Tamandua tetradactyla: one gene and its partner. The protein of the gene in region 1 interacts with the protein of each later gene in a biochemical or structural test. Links are inferred from orthologs where the notes say so. Each region holds a gene or a part of one and is shown in the gene's direction. Other genes may lie near its edges.

The links.
Region 2: the proteins of IKBKB (region 1) and BCL10 form a complex in vitro, tested with the Homo sapiens proteins (2 studies listed by BioGRID, with this or other methods). The link is inferred for Tamandua tetradactyla from reciprocal best matches to the Homo sapiens genes IKBKB and BCL10.

What each region holds. Positions count from the first base shown.
Region 1 is NC_135329.1:17,816,318-17,824,646, forward strand, and holds the start of IKBKB (inhibitor of nuclear factor kappa-B kinase subunit beta), read left to right. Parts: upstream 1-4,983; 5' UTR 4,984-5,136; intron 5,137-5,313; exon of another isoform or gene 5,314-5,403; intron 5,404-5,802; 5' UTR 5,803-5,821; coding exon 5,822-5,926; intron 5,927-8,329.
Region 2 is NC_135337.1:39,769,142-39,777,782, forward strand, and holds the start of BCL10 (B-cell lymphoma/leukemia 10), read left to right. Parts: upstream 1-4,797; 5' UTR 4,798-5,065; coding exon 5,066-5,122; intron 5,123-8,641. UniProt on the Homo sapiens protein: Plays a key role in both adaptive and innate immune signaling by bridging CARD domain-containing proteins to immune activation.

The sequences.
Region 1 (8,329 bases):
TAGGAATGTTTGCGTTTGTTTGGTGTTTTTTGGTATTTTAAAAAAGTAACATTAAAAAAAAAAAAAAGAATCGGATCAGGCAGTGTGAGAGTGGCTCAGTGGCAGAATTCTCACCCGCCATGCCGGAGATGCGGGTTCGATTCCCGGTGTCTGCTCATGCAAAAATAAATAAATAAATGAAAGAATCAGATCAATTCCCCCCCAAACCCTCCAACTACCAAAAATCAATCAAGATGAAGTAGACATATGAATAGCCCTACAAACATTAAAGACAATTGAATGCATACTTTAAAAGCTTCTGTAAAATAAATCTCTAAGCCTTGATGGTTTCACCAGAGATTTATATCAAACACCTAAAGAACACTGTGGGATCTGTCCTGTAACTACTTGTTGAAGAGTGCTTTGAAAACTATTGCTTTTTTATTTCTTTGCTTTGTATATATGTTATACTATACGATTAAAAAAAGTTAAAAAAAATTGAAAAAACAATACAAAACAAAAAAAGCCCTGTGCTGCCCACTGGATGTCCCCCCAACCCTCCCGCCACCCCACGACGATGGCAGGTTCATGCTTGCTGGCCCTAACCCAGATTGGGAGTTGTGGCCTTGGAGAGCTGGGCTGCTGTGCAGGAGAACTTGGGAGGGATCTGTCTCTTTGCTCAAGAGCAGGAGGCCTGAGGGGCTGGAGAGGAGAGGGAGTGGAGAGGGGTTGGGCAGGGTGGGGGCCCAGGAGCTGGACAAGGGGAACTTTTGAGAGAGGTTGTCGGATATTAGATCTTAATGTGTTTGTGGCAGGCACTATGATATAAACCCTTCCATCGCTCCAAACCTCCGGTAAAATCTGTTGAATATGAAGTTCTTCTTTAAATGATTATTGGATAAAATCAAGGAGTAGGGCTGACTTCCACATCTGGATAAGGAACAGAAATCACAGGCCCAGGAATGAAAAATGACACATAGACTGATCCAATTCCTTCAATATACACATCATCGCTGAGCACCTACTGAGCAGTCAAATGTTTGCTACTACTGTTATTATTACTGTGTGGCCAGCACGACGTGATGCTAGAACAGCGGAATTAGAATAGACAGGGGACTGACAGCATTAACTGCTGGGAGGCAGGCAACCGACAGTAAACAAATAACATGCTAAAAGTAGTGACGAGTGCTATGAAGGACTAGATGGGGAGAGTGTGGTGACAAAATAACCGGTCATGTAGGGAGGAGGACCTATTTGGAAAGGGTGTTTGGGAATTTAGTGAAAGTAGGAGTCAGAATTGGCTGAGTAAGAAACATACCACTAGCCTCATGCGCCACCACAGGCCAGCTCCACCACCGCTTACACCAATTCCTGGAGAGATGGGAAAGAGAAAGGGTACAGGGTCTTTTACATCAAGGGGAGGGGAGGGTTTGAAGCGATTTTACTTGAATCATAAGGACAGGAATCTCTGCTGACACCTAGGCTATTGCATCAAAAAAATCATGCAGGCTTAAAAAGTGCCAGGCTCTGTCCTAAACTCTTTACATCTATTATCTCACTTAAATCACATAACCAGGAAGAGTAGATTGTAGATACAGAAACCAGGGCTCAGGGAGGTAAAGTAAATTGTCTGAGTCCATGAAGCCAGAGTCAGCATTAAAACCCAGATCTCTTTCAGACTCCAGGGTCCACGTACATCCAATGCTAAAGAGTGCAGCATTACGGGTCTTTGCACTGGTTGACTGATTATTTAATTCGGTAAATTTTTCTTGAGCATCTATTATGCCTCAGGCACTGGGGATGCAGCAGTGAACAAAATCCCTGAGCCAAAGGAGGAGCTCAGAATTGAGGTGATGAAGGAACACAGCTATCAGCTGATGTGCCCAGTTCATACCCACAGATTCTCCACCACAAAGGATGGGCCCTTTAGTGACTGCTTCCTCTTTAAATGGATTTTATTGGAATAAAAACATGTGTGTGTAAATGTGAAGGGAGCATGCAAAATGATTTCCTCTCCCAAGCCACCCTCCAGGGAGGGTGACCCAGGGCTCTGAGTTTCCAGCCTTCAGTGTTTCACCCAAAATTTGAAGCATGATGACTTGGCTGACTCTGCTTCTCTCCAAGTTTCACCACTGGCTCAGGTCCTGTTCTCAGAGATAGGAGTTGCCTGCAATTTCTTTCCTTCCTCTTCTGCAGCCAGTTCTTATACTGAGCTCTGAAGATCCGAGCTGTGTTGACTCTCCTTTTCAGTCTCTGCCAGTCCACCCCCCATCTCCCACCAACTCTTGCAGAAGAAAGGCAGATTTCTTTATTCCTTTCAACAAAACAAGTTTTTCCAACCTTTCTGGCAGCAGAATTTTTGTTTGTTGAAGGAACAAGCCCTGACTTGCAGAGTCCTCAGCAGGGCTGAGAGAAAACAAACTTGGTACTAGGGTGCCAGGAAAATCCTCCCAAGATGGAGTGCTCTATTTTATTGTCTTGATATCTTCTAAGCTCACTCTTCCTACTCTCCTCTCAGGTGGCTCAGAAAACAATCCTTTCCTCATTCAAAGGAACTCAGGGTTGCTTTGCCCAGCTGCTGTTAAGGTGAGAGGCAGTGTTCCAATAGCAGCAGGGTTTTCGCAAAGGATGCTACAAAAAGATGCTTAAGAAAATCATTGTCTTTGACTTCCTCTGGAATAAGATTTTATTTTAAATGAAACAATATTAAGAAACCTTATCCTCATCACTAACCTACTATACTGCCTCTACAGCAGAACAAATTAGCACCTGAGTTTGTGTTGCCTTGTTCTGATCTCCAGTTACCTGTTGGCTCTCTGTGGGTCTTATGTTCTCAATAAGATTCTAAGTGTCTGTGATGAGACTTGCATTGGTTGAATTCCCTGTGGTCAGCGGTGCCCAGAGCTATGCTATGCCCTCTCCAGTATTTCTTGATTATCCTATAGCTTCTGCTAACTAGGACACTCGGTTTCAAAGCAGGAAGAAGAAGGAACGTTTTTCTGCTGCCATCTGAAAATGTCTTGTTATGAGCAGTCTGCTCACATCCTCCAGAGCAGGAAAGATACCAGACACGGTATTCTGGGCATATCTTATCTGGAAGGAAAAAAGGAGTTTAAGATGATAAATATCTTGGGACATGATAAAATTCACAGGCTCTTTCCTGGCTCATCATGCACTTATTTTTTTAAAAAACTAGCAGTGTATGCGACTTTATCAAAGAGATTTATGTTCAATTGAAGAACAAGCTGTTCTGGACTCAGCAGAATGAGAACTCAAAGGAAAATGGTGCAGAGTCAACCTTGGGCATGTCAGTGGATATCTTGCTAAATTTCTCAGGGACAGTGATTATCAGTGGTGACAGGATTAAAAAGAAGCTTTCATGATGTCATACATATCCTAAGCAGAGCTCAGCACAAGTAGGTGCTAAATAAATATTTGTTTAATTTGATTTAATTATTAAACAAACACGTATATTGCACTTGGAATATGCCAGGCATCATTACTTTGTGCTAATGAGCTGAAATATGTTCCCCAAAGTTAATTGCAACCTTGGACCCTGTTTAGGAAGACAGGAGTGTCCACTGGGTCAGGCACTACCGTTACCATTACCTCACTGGCCCCTCAGGGAAACTGAACTGGCACCTCCTCTGCCACTTGTGTGCCTTCCTGTCCTCTTGCTGCTCTTAGGCTGGACCAAAGAAAATTGCTGAACTTTAATTGATGCTGTTTGATTTATTTAAAAAATGGCAATTTCATGTGACTCACCCTAATATTGCCTACATTTAAAAGAAGAGGAAATGGAGGCTTGGAGTGGTTAAATAATTTCTCCTTAATTCTTCGAGCTAATTGACAGCAGTATCTGAATTCAAAACCCAGTTTGCCTCCTTAGGTTGAACCTCTTAGCCTGTTATTTTTAATCAAATATTAAGAGCATCTGCCTAGGAACCAGCTACTGGGGGTTAAATCTCACATCTTCCATTTACTAGCCCTGTGGCTTTGAGATGAAGAGTTTTCCTCTGTATGCTTTAGTTTCCTCATTTGCAAAGTGAGGGTAATAATAATGCAGTATTATTTAATTTGTAAAGTAACCTTAAATGACCCGAAATCTAAGTACAGAGTTTAGGAAAGCACCTGGCATTTAGCAAGCACTCTATAAATGTGAGCTATTATTACCACCTTCAGGTTTCCTTTAATCCCTTTTTCCTTCTTGATTAAATATACCAACTCACACACACACACACACACACACACACACACACACACACACACACAACTCCATTGTATACCAACAGAATGCCACAAGATCCAGAAACTTAATATTAAAGACCTTATTATAATGCCAAGTGCGGAGGAAATGAACGCTTAACCTCGGGTCGAGAGCCTTACTGGAGCTGAAACTCGAGTTCAGTTTTATACTACTAGGGTTGGTTTTTTTTTTTTCTTTTTCTTCTTTTTTTTTGTGTGTGTGGGGGTGAGGGGGTGGTCGGGGAGGGAGGTGTCACTGCTGAGAAGTACAGCTGGGATTTGTCATTCTTGATACAGAGACAGGAACCTCCAGACACGGGAGGCGCAGCAGGAGCCCAGGAGGGCAACAGCGATTCTGGCTAACAGTCCCTAAATCAATCCTAGCGGGGACGCGGGGGAAATTCCACCTGCTCCACGTCTGGGAAGCGAGGTCAGGTTTACCCTAGCAGGGCTGGGCAGAGGAAATCCCCCATCCCTTCTGCCCTGGACACCGCTGCAGGTTCCCGGCATTTCCCTATAGAGAACACTGGCGTGCTGGGGTTCGTTTGAAGACTCTTTTATCTCGGGGAGCACAGTTCTGTTCAGTTCCGCCCAGTCGTTCAGGAGCCACCCGCATCCCTCCCGGGGGCCACGTGGGGCGGAGAGCCCTGGGGAAAGGCAGGCTTCGGGGGGGGGGGGGGGGAGGGCGGAGCCCACGCGCCGCCGCGGCCCCTTTAAGAGCGGTGCGCCGGCCCACGTGCCCCATGACGTCAGAGCAGGAAGTGTTTCAGGAAGTCGCGCGCTGCTGGTTGGTTTGAGATTCCCGCATTTTAATGTCTTCTGAGTGGTACCAGAGCCCCTGGTCTTGCTGCCCCAGGCCCCGCCTCCCCAGCCCCGGGGAGCCTCTCCCCCGCCCCGCGTCCCTGCCGACAGGTGAGTCCCACGGGCGGGCGCGGGACCGAGAGCGTCGTGTCCACTTGGAGACCCCGCTGGTCCTCTGTCCAAGTCCACTTGTCCGTCTCCATCCTCACTTGAGGCTCTGGAAGAAACTTCTGTCGAGTTTAAAAGTCGGGGGGCCACGGGTTCGAGTTGGGAGGCCCAGGAGAACAGCCCCGGCCTGGGGATTCCAGGTGGCAGCTTAGAGGATGGTGGCATTGGGAGGGAGCCGTGATTCTTGTAAAGAACCTTGCAAAGAAACAGGTGAGCGTGGGGAGCCCAGAAACAAGACTCTCTCGTCCCCTGTGGGAGGATGCGGGCAGGTCAGCCGAGGATCCCCTTTGGAGGTCATGGAGTGTAGGGCATCATCTCCCTTGAGTGACTTTCCTCTTTACTTCCTCCCACGAGAGTGGGAGGATGGAAGGTGATGAGAGAGAAAAAGTTTGCCACCAAAACCAAAACACAAACTAAAAAAACAAAAACAAAAAACCACACCAAAAAAATCCCGGTTTATTCGCTAAGTAAAAAGCAGTTCAGTTTTTTTCTTCTCCCACGCTAAAGGGCAAGTCCATCTCTTACCTTCTCCATCCCCTTGAGCAGGGACCTGCCCCATTTTTTCTTAACCATAATAACCCTTTGCCCCCCATCCCCAATTGCTTACAGAGTTATCAGGACGTCAGTAATGAACTGGTCACCTTCCCTGCCAACCCAGACATGTGGGGCTTGGGAAATGAAAGAACGACTTGGGACAGGGGGATTTGGAAACGTCATCCGATGGCACAATCAGGTAGGGGCTCTGTGCAGCCCGGGAAGGGGTGGGGGTGGGGGGCACGCTTCTCTCACTGCCCCTTGGCACTGCAAATTTCTACCCCACACTGTTCTGGGTAGGTGAATGGTGCTAGCCTTTGGTGGTGGAATTCTTAGCAGTGAATGAGAAGAGGGACTGGGAAGGGGGTTTCTAGGGGCAGCTAAGCTGACTTTTTAGGTTAGTCTCCAATTTTAATGGACCGCACCACCATAATAGATAGTGAAATAATAATAACAATAAAGTGAAGCTCTTGGCTCCAATTATGTATATTTTAAACTTATGCAAGTATTAGAATGTCATATACTGTTACATGCTAATATATAACTATTATAAAGCACCCAAAAATAGGAAAATTTTAAGGATGACGGTAATGAAATAATATTTTAAAATATTTTGCTATTTGTGATGTCTTCTCAGTATCATTTACAGTATCTTACAACGTGAAATACCTGGATCTGCACAGAAGTTAAGAATGTCATTAAGGATAGTGGATGAAAATCTACACTTCAGATTTAGAATTTTGAATTATTTAGACTGATTTCTTTTTGGATTTCATCAGATCCTCATTTTTTTTATTCCTGCTCTTTATAATGAGCTACTTGTGCTAGAAGTGCCGGTTCTACCATGTCCCTCCTTGCTTGTGTAGGTATGATATGTCCTGAAGTTCTCTGCAGGAATCTCTTTATGCTATTTGTTCATTTTGAGAGTTATTGTCTTAGTTTGCCAGGGCTGCAGTAAGAGCTATCCCAGGCTGGTTGACTTACACAACAGAAATTTATTATCTCACAGTTTTGGAGGGAAGAAGTCCAGAGTCAAGATCTCTTGCAGGCGGTGCTTCCTCCAGTACTTGAGCCTAGTGATTTGCTGGTAATCCAGAACTCAGTCTCCGCCTGCCACCTGGTAGTCTGTCTCCTCATCCACCTGATACCATCTGCAGATTTCCTTTGCATATAAGGACTCCAGTCATATCGGATTAAGGCCCACCCTGTTTCAGTTTGGCTTTGTCTCAATAGGATCTTCAAAAATCCTGATTACAAGTGGTTCACATCCACAGGACCAGGGCTTAGGACTTGAACATGTCTTTGAGGGAGGGTGGGGGCCTGAATCAATCTGTAACTGTCAGTTTTACTTAGACTGGATAATGCATCCATAATGCTACTTCACCAGGGCGCACATGACCTGCAGCGTGTCTCCATAGGCCCCTGGCACCCCTCTGCCTGTGGAATGCCTCCTTCCTCAGGATATATCAAACATGGCATGTTACCTTCTGACAAATGACCTAAAGAATGTGCCAACATCAGTTAATATTAGAAGAGCTTAATTTATTTTTTATTTTTTTATTTTTCGATTCCATTAGATTATCTTGGGCAACCCCTGGGGTGCATAAACCTAGTTTGGAGACGATTGTCCTAGAGGAACCCTGACTTAAGTCACTCACCAAATAGCTGAAATTAACTTCCTGCTCCAAAATTCAGAGCCATTGTATTCCTTGAAGAAAGGCAGCTATCCTTTTAATCAAGGGGGCTGTTGAGCACCTTTTCTGACTAAAGGGATGACAAATTGTACTCTACTCCCCAAGAGCCTGGCTGCAGCCAGCACTGCAAGACGTTGAGGTAGCTGGCCAGCCATGGCAGAGGGTCACTCCAGAGAGCCACTCTCCTTGGCCATTGACTTGGGAGACATTCTAGGCCCTGCCCTGAATCCTGCCAGCTCTTGACTGCATGGAAGAATACGGGATCCAGAGCTGGAAGGCAGAGGTGGTAACATTTTCACCCCCCTTGTGGAAACTAGTACTTCAGCAAATCCTTGGCTGAGGAGGCCTTAGAAATACCACCTGCTTAAGTTTGTCCAGATTATAGTCTAGCCAAGGGCTTCATTTTAAACCCAGAGAGCCAGATTATGCTCCAGCACCACGTATAACTGGGCTGGGTGCCTCTGGACAGGCCAGTGCTTTTAAAAGTCTTTTGACTACAGCAAATATCTCACTGCAGCTTAACTAGAGACATCTTGGTTTCCTTTGAAAAAGAGTTCTGTCCAAATGTGCCATATGTCTGTCACCTCTGGCTTGAAATGACTTCCGTCTGCTCTCTGGGCATGGAGAGCTCAGATGTTGCCAAGTGGAATTTGTTTCTGGCTTGATAGATGTGGGCTTGGAGTGTGTGTTTGTGTATGTCTCTGTATTAGTCTTCTAGGATTACTGCCTTCCCCTGTTCAAAATGCTTAATGTTCTCTTTATTTTTTAAAAGCCGATAGCTGGGTTTCTCAGTCTGTTGCTTGAGATTCCCCACCCCCACCCCCGTGGTCTGACCCCTTCCTTTCTAACCTTACCTCCCTTTATTGACTCCTGACAGGTGGATTTGCTGAGCCCTTTCTGGGTCAAGC
Region 2 (8,641 bases), on another chromosome or scaffold:
CCTGTGGGTTTATGAGGATATTGACGATATCCTCCCCTTGACGATAATCAGGGCTCCATGTCCCAGAAACACGCAAGCCTCTAATACCAGGTGTCTACCTGCAGTCTCCAAACCAACCAGGATGGTGGAGGAAAGGATCCAGTTTCCTCATCAAGCCCAGCAATGCCCTGATCTTGGGGTGCACTATGAATGTCCTCAGAGCATTCTCATGCTGGGTCCTTCCTTCCTAAACTGGAAGCCCTTCCTGGGGGCAGGATCATCTGGAGCGTTCACCAAGTCCGTGAGCTTCTATCTCGGAATTTCACCAATATTGTCTGCAAATAAAACACAGGGATGCCTCAGAACTGGCTACTTTTTCTTCCAGCTGGTTATAGGAAAGTTATAGCTCACAATCATCTGGAATAAAATTTGTTGTTCAACATAGTATTTTGTACCTGGCAGATATTTAATAAAACTTTTGAAATAAATCATTAAGCAACAAAAGTTCCGCCTATTGAAATCTACTTGGCCAACCAAAATACACCTCTTTCCTGTCACCTTATCAGTCAAAAGTGACTGATTACATTCATCTCTTCCTTTACACTCTTATAAAAGCTATTTTTTTCATTAAGTGTTTATTATTTATTCAAGGTCATACAGCTATTAAGTGGCAAAGCCAGAATCCAACCTAGGTCTGTCAGATGCCAAACGTCCTCATTCTTAACCACAATGATATGCCACCTTATTTTCTTAGCACATAAACTGTATTATTCACACTACATTTATCAGATGCCTTGTATTTCACAGCACAAGGCAGGATGGTGTACCTAGAAACCTAGACACAGAGGTAGGGATGAAGGGCATACTAGGGGATGGGGAGGTGAAAATATTGCAAATAGGGAATAAGCGGGGCTATTTTCTTGGAAATATGCCCAACCTTCACTACAGTCTGACCCTGAGATTTAACAGAGAAGAGGAAATGAGTTTGCATATTATGAAATGTGATACATTAGAAAGAAAGCAGAATTGAGAACTGTAATGCCTGCCACAAACCAGCTCTTTGATTAGGTACTTGACATTAGGATGCGGCCCCTTTGACACATGATTTGACCCAGGAACCTTAAAACATGGCCTGGTGTGGTGGCCCAGGGTCAGGACCCCCTCCCTTGGGAGATGAAGGCTTAAGTATGCAGCAGCCGGTGTGATCAGAGCCCAGACATTATTGTTAAAGCAATTAAAACTCCCCTCCCCTAATCACTGTTGGTAATTAACTGGCTGAGACTCTGCTGAAGCTTCTTTGTAACAGATATTGCCAGGCTTTGCTGAATCATATAAGGTACTCTTCCTCTTGTTTTGGGGATCACTGATTTCCATTTCCTGACCAGTCACCATCAGAAAGAATCGTTTCCTGTTAGTAAGTCCCAAATGAAACCCATATCTAACTCTCTGCTGTGTTCTTTGGTCTTTGGGCTGGGCTGGGCTGGGCTGGAACACCTGGAAAGCAAAATATTAAACTTTCAGCTTTCAAAAATTCCTAAGATTCTCACTCCACACCTGAGTGTCATCCAACGTCGGCTCTTCAGTCCATCACCAACCCTATTACTGGCACCTAATAGGCACAACTTTTTGTTGAATAAATGAATAAGTGAATGAACATCAAGGATGGAAGAAGGGCATGGCTGCACGTGTCAGAAAAGAGATGATGGACCCAGAGGGGCCAGCCTCTCCAAAACATCAACTAGTGCCATTCCCCTATCTCATATTATTGACAGCTCTTTCCAACATGAAAAAGTTGGAATGGACATAGCCTAAATACCCCTAAAGATTGGGAGAAGGCTCAAAGGAGAAAGTGGAGTTATAACAGAGAAGATAGGATTTAACAAATGAATATGACTGCTGAATTATTGTATTGAATAATACAAATCCTATTTCTTTTAGTCTCCAGTGTCTTGGAGCAGCTAAATGGGAAAACCTAAAATTGTGGAACTGTCAAACTCTGAAATCTGTTCTATAACTAATTGTTGCAGTGTGCTTTGAAATGTATTACTTTTTTGTATATACGTTATTTTTCACAATAAAAAAAGAGAAATATAACATAAAAAAAAGAGAGAGAGATGATGGTCAAGGACAAGGAAAGGGTCAGAATCAGAGTTGTCTACCATTAACATTTGATAGTCAAAACCCATAACAGAAATAAAGGTGTCAAAATATCAATTATTTGTTAATTCATGGTAATGAGTGTGGGGTGTTTGTAATATAACTCTTTTTACTGTTTGGTGTGTTTAAAATATTTCATTTTAAAAAGAACAGTATAACAGCAACTTCAAAATGACTGGACCAAATGGGATTCACCAAACTGGCAAATCATTTGCTTTAATTGGGGGGAAATCACCTCTTTCACGAGCAAAGCCGGTGCGGTTCATTCCCACACAACCCTTTAGGAGAGAACCTGTGGAAATACATCTGAAAAGCCATAAAATATTCATTTCCTTGGTTGGGAGCATACTCCTGCCTCCTGATAATTTAGGCAAAGAAAATAATAATTCAAAAGAGAATAGCATAGGAAATATGTAGGCAAAAAATTTTATAATTTTTTTATAACCATGGAAGATTGGGAATAATGCCAAGGGAACAACGGGGCAGCACTCACCACTGCTCCCACCTGGTAGAGCCACTCTCCTGTCTGTCTAAATCCCTACAGTGGCCTCCAGCTGGTCTCCATTTTTGCTCTTGCTTCTACAGTCAGAGTGATCCTAAAGGAAATCAAAGTGCTTCCTCATTTCTCTTCAAATTGTGTTTTTACAAGCATCACAGCTAGCTCTCCTGTCTGAGCCACCACCTCTAGGGCCTGGATTAAAGAAGAGACCCCCTAACTGGTCTCCTCCTTTCACCCTCCTCCTCAACAAAAATCATAAATCAGATCACACCACTCTTCTCCAGCAGCTTCCTGTCTGACTCAGAGTAAGCCCGTATGATTCAGCAAAGTGGGAGAAAACTCTTACAAAGGAACACAAGAATCTCATCTTCTGCTCACCCCTGACTCCATCCCAGCCACCCCCGGAGCCTTTCATTGGCTGTTCCTTCTATTCACAAGGCTCTTTCTCCAAATATGCACTCCCTCACCTCCTTCAAATCCTAACCAAAATCCCACCTTTTCAGGCAGGTCTTCATTGGCTGCTGTGATGGTCCGGAGCTATGTACCCCAGTAGCAAATAGTTCTTAAACTTAATCCATTCCTGTGGGTGTGAACCCATTAGAAGCAGGACATTTGATGAGGTTACAAAAGTTACGATGCGGTCCAACTCAATCAAGATGGGTCTTAATCCGATTACTGGACTCCTTCAAAAGCTGAATGTAATGCAGACACACAGAGAGAAGGCCATGGGAAGCAAAACACTGAAAGTCAAAAGAACAGGAGATAAGGAACAGGGACCCCAGACCTGGGATCACTGGCAGTCAACCCCAGAGTCTTCAAGACGAAGCATTGCCTTGAGTTGGACTTTTCCTAGCCTCAAACAGTAAATTATTAAATTTCCATTGTTGAAGCCAATCCACTGCATGGTATTTGCTTGAGGAGCCAAGGGAAACTAAAGCAGACACACTATTGTAAATTATTGTAAATGAGAAGCCTCATCCTGCTTCTCCATTTTATTTTCTGTTTATCATCTTCTAATATACTAAATAATTTACATAAATTTTTTCAAATATGTATCTTCCGTTAGGCCTAGACAACAGAAGATTTAGCAAGCAGAAAAAAACTGTACTTGTATTTTGTATCAATGTGGAAAAAGACATGACATAATGTTAATGCAAAAAAGCAGAATCCTTGGGTTGTGATTAAAAATGTTTTGGTGCATTTTGGGGAACACCTCTTTTCTGGTTTTTTGCTTCCCCTGACCTTAAACATTGGCTTTCCAAGTTTGTCCTTGGTCTCCTCATTTTGACCTACCCTTGTGGCTTCAAAAACTATCCAGTTTATTTAGTATGTCATCCAACTTTCCTCCTTGGGCGTAGACCTCTATTCTCAGCTCCTCACCCACATTTCTCAGGTTGCTTTGCATACTCCTCTATTCCTGAGTGGAATACCATTCTGGGAATAACTACTGTTCATCAATCTCCCCCACCCCCAAATGTGGAAGAACCCTTACAGGAGAAGCTGCCAGGAACATATTAGTAAGTACCAACTAAATGCTTGAGTAATACAAAATAATACTAATAAGTGCTTATCCCGTGCCAGGTACCTACAGCTTTCCATGTATAATTTAATTCTCACAGCAGTCCCATGAAGTAGATCTAACTCCACTCCACAGATTTATGAATGAAGAAAAACATGTTTATAAACGAACAGCCACCGAGAAGGATGCAAACGTTTAATTAGATGTTAAAGTGGTGGGAATGAGGTGGTTCTTTTTCTTATTTCCCCAAATTTCTTTAATACTGCAGTTCTGTTCCGTGTGTGCGCGTGTGTTTGTGTGTAATAACAACTTAAACATTTGAATGGGCAAACACAGCAACAGGAAATTATAGAACCCGGTCAGGAAAAAAGGGAGGAACCCGAAGGTACTAACAAACCTACACCCAGCGTGAAACGCCTGCCGCCGTGGGCGGTGCCAGCCAGCTGAGCAGCAACGGATCCCACCCACGGAAACGATTCCTTATTGGGAGGCCAGCCTCCGGCCACATGCAAATGACCTGCGGAGGTGTAGCTTGAGGTGACGTCAGCTGCGGGTAGAGCCACTCCTGAAAGGCTCCGGTGGGAGGCTTGGGCTGATTGGCTGTCGTAGTGACGGGGCGGGTCCTGCCGAAGGCCCAGCCTCCCGAACGGGCGGCGCCTGCGCCTGAGCCTCCCTGGACAGGGAAGGAGCCTGGCTTGGATCTCCGCGTCGCGGCGCGTACGGTCTGAGGCGCCGTCGCCCCCAGAGGGCGACCCCCGAGCCACTGTTTTCCTAGGGGCGGTTTTCTTCTTCGAGACCCGCTCCGCCTCTCCTTTCCCCCTCTTCTCGAGGTTATCGAAGCCCCCAGGTCTGGGAGGGGCGGCGAGGCCAAGCTCCCGGACCCGGAAGAAGAGCCGTCTCCTGCCTCTGCCATGGAGCCCACCGTGCTGTCCCTCACCGAGGAGGACCTGACTGAAGTGAAGAAGGACGTGAGTAGCGCAACCTTGCCCAGGCGCCGCTGGTATCCGGGGGTGGGCGGGGGCGGGCTGCAGTCCCACGGGAGAGGGAAGCAGAAACCGGATCCCGGAGAAGAGCCTCTGGGTGGGAGGAGCGAAAGGTCTGGGCTCTGGAGGATCGCGACGAGCCCTGCGACCAAAGGACCTTGCTGGAAGTGATCCCTCGGTGATTTGTTGATCCACATTTTCGAATCGCTGAACACAGGATTAAGGTTTCTGAAACTTTGTCCAGTAGACCTTTTCTTCGTAGTCAGCGTCTTACCCGCTCATGATTTTACCTCCCGGCTGTGCTTACGAAGCTCCGTTGTTGGGGATCCTCATCCTTTTTTAAAAAGTCATACTTCCTAGGCTGTGAACCCAACGTAGAGCAAAAGCTGGACCAGAAAAAGAATCCGAAGCAATGGAGCAAATATGTGAAACTGTTTTGCAAAGGGGATTGAGGGAAGCTCAACAGCTGAAAGCGCAACCTGGAATTCCCCTAGTAAGCAAACGCCCACGTATTTAAATTGAGGGGGGTATGAATACATGTAGCAGAGAATTAATTTACAGGTAAACGTTGGAAATATTCTGTAGCTAAATTAATTTCTTCTGCCTGGATGTTGCAGAACTGCACAAACCTTAATACCTATTTGTACGAATGGCTTTGTTGAGGTATGATTTGCTTCTTTCTTCTTTGTTTTTAGTTACTTGGTTTTTCATTTGAGACCTGTAGGAATACTACTAAAATGTTTTATACTAATTCAAATTAAAAACGGAAACAACATAATGTATGCTCTGATTTGACATTGCAGTACCTTAAGAATACAATCTTTGTGAATTGTGAGGGAGAGGAACTTTTTTAATGTTCATCTTTTTCAACTCCCTTCCTCTTCCCTCCCCAGTATTGTTTATTACACTGTGCTCATATAGCATGACTCATTAGCAAAAGGAAGCTGGAAATTAAACTGTATGACTAGAACTTGTGCCTTAATTTCCTTATCAGGTATTTATGGGACACTTACTATCTGCAAAGTACCATTCTTCTGCCTAGGATATAAAAATGAAGATAATACCCCTGCTTTATAATCTAGTTGAGATGAGACTGGGACATTGATGACTACAGTGGATTTTCATTATTTGTGGTAATTATGTTCTATAAAGTCCTTGAGAACTCCTAATTATTGAATACTGAATCTTTATTCCTAGGGGAAATACAGGGTTAGGTTCAAGCCAGCCTTTGGTTGCAACGTTTTCTTCAACCGATCAATATATTACTTTGATTTATATGTATGTCTCTTTAAAGACACATTACTTCATTTATATTGTTGATTCATTAGCAATGAATTCATGGCCAACAGCACTGTAATTCATGCTTGAGCAAAGCTTATCTAACAAATATATTTTCTCTGTGAGTTACATCACAGTGCTAGGCAGCACTGTAGCACTACACATGGAGTTCATTTTAAACAGCGAAATCACCAACAAAAAGCACAGAAATGTGACAAACATGGCACTTAATAAACCATGAAAAAGACGTTGTTAACAATATGAGCTGAAACAGGAAGGTAGAGCATTGCCTTGTTTGACCTCTGCTGGAAATGTGCGCATCAAGAACTCAATTTTTTTTACTATTCTGCACATCTATGAAAGAATGGGAAAACTCCATGAATATTGATTTGGGGGTTATAAATAAATTTTTCTGGGTAGGCAAATTCACAAATGTAATCAGCAAATAATGAGGACAATCTGTACTACAGAATGAGTTTTGTCTTGTTCAACATGGATGCCAGTAAAACCAAGAACTTCAAGAACTAAGCTTACAGAGTTCCATAAATGCTCCCATTTAAAATCTTTACAAGAACCTGTAAGGGAGATATTGTTATTCCCATTTTATAGTTGATGACTGGGCAATTACAAGTGAGAGGAGATAAAACTATACAAATGCAGATGTGAAGAGTGGGTTCTTTGCCTTTATTTTTATGACTGTTCATTGATGTTCTCCATCTCCATATTTTCAGTTTGCATTTTTATCAGAAATTCATAACCTTGGGGAGACCGTGGATGGATTTCAGGAGGTCTATGAAAAAAAATCTTGAAGATTTTCAAAATGGTTTTTGACCTTAAGTTTTAAAATTACCATCCACTGGGTGGCAGATGATGGCGCAGTGGCAGAGTTCTTTCCTGCCATGCTGAAGACCCAGGTTCGATTCACAGTGCCTGCCATGCCAAAGAAAAAAAAATTACCTTCCACATATTCAGACTTCTCTCAACTTTAGCCCTGTATTTCTAATTATCTATTGGAAATCTTTCACATTCTGCAAATTCCTCACTTGTCTAAAATTGATCCCTCCCCCAAAGCAGCTTGCCTTTACTGCTGTATTTTATATGGTGATGAATGGTATACCACCATCCATCTTCCTAGAAATTCCAACTTCTTCCCATCTAGTTATTTAGCTTATCTTTTAGGGGTTGGATTTAGTTCAGTTTAATAAATATGAATTACATGCTACTGGGAGGGCTGATGCTGTAGTTGTTTCTAACAGTTCCGAAATTAAAAACTAAAACAGTCATTTGAAAATATCTTGATTTCTTGGGAGAGGGAGACAGGTAAAAAGTAATAATTAGAAATTACAAAATAAGTGTAATGAATTATGTATTCATCCAAAACATATTTACTTGGTACTCTGTTAAAGTGTAGTGTTGAACAAAACATTCCTGGTTCTTGCCTGCTTCATGCGTATAGGTAATTAGGGTTGAAAACAAATGAATGTATAATTACAAATTATGGCAAATGCTGTGAAGTTGACAAACAGGTGCTGAGACATTAATAGGGGAAATCTACTTGAGGTAGGATGGTCTGGAAAGTGTACATTTAAATGGATTCCTAAAGGATGTGACAGAACTGGGGAAAGAACATTCTAAGGAGAATAGAATTTACAAAGGACCTAAAAATAAAACAGCCAAGAAGAACTTGGTGACTTGGGGAAATTGGAAGAAGGCAGAGAGTAGCCTGAGGTGAAGTTAGGAAGATAGGCTAGGGTCAGATCATGAAGATGGTAATAAAGACTTTGTGTTTTTTCCCAAGTGTACTGGGAACCTAATGAATTATATTTTATTTTTAAAGATATCTCTTCTGTTGGGTTGGACAGGGGGGAAGCAAGAGTGAGAAGAGTGAGAGCAGGAAAATCAAGAAAGAGACTCTTGGAATTTATATAGATGAGAGATGATGGTGATCTGAATCTGGGTGAAGGCAGTGAAGATGAATCAAGTAGAACTCTAGATACATTTCTGAAACAAATTGGTAAGACTTGATGATGGGTTGAATGTGGGAGTTGAGAAAGAGAATGGAATTAGATGAGTAAGTAGGAATATTAAATCAGCAATTAGATTTACAAGTCTGGAGGTCAGAGGAGAGAACTAAGTTAAAAATACAAGTGATGGGTGCATGGGTAGTTCAGTGGTAGAATGCTCATGTTTCATCGAGGAGACCCGGGTTCGATTCCCGACCATGCA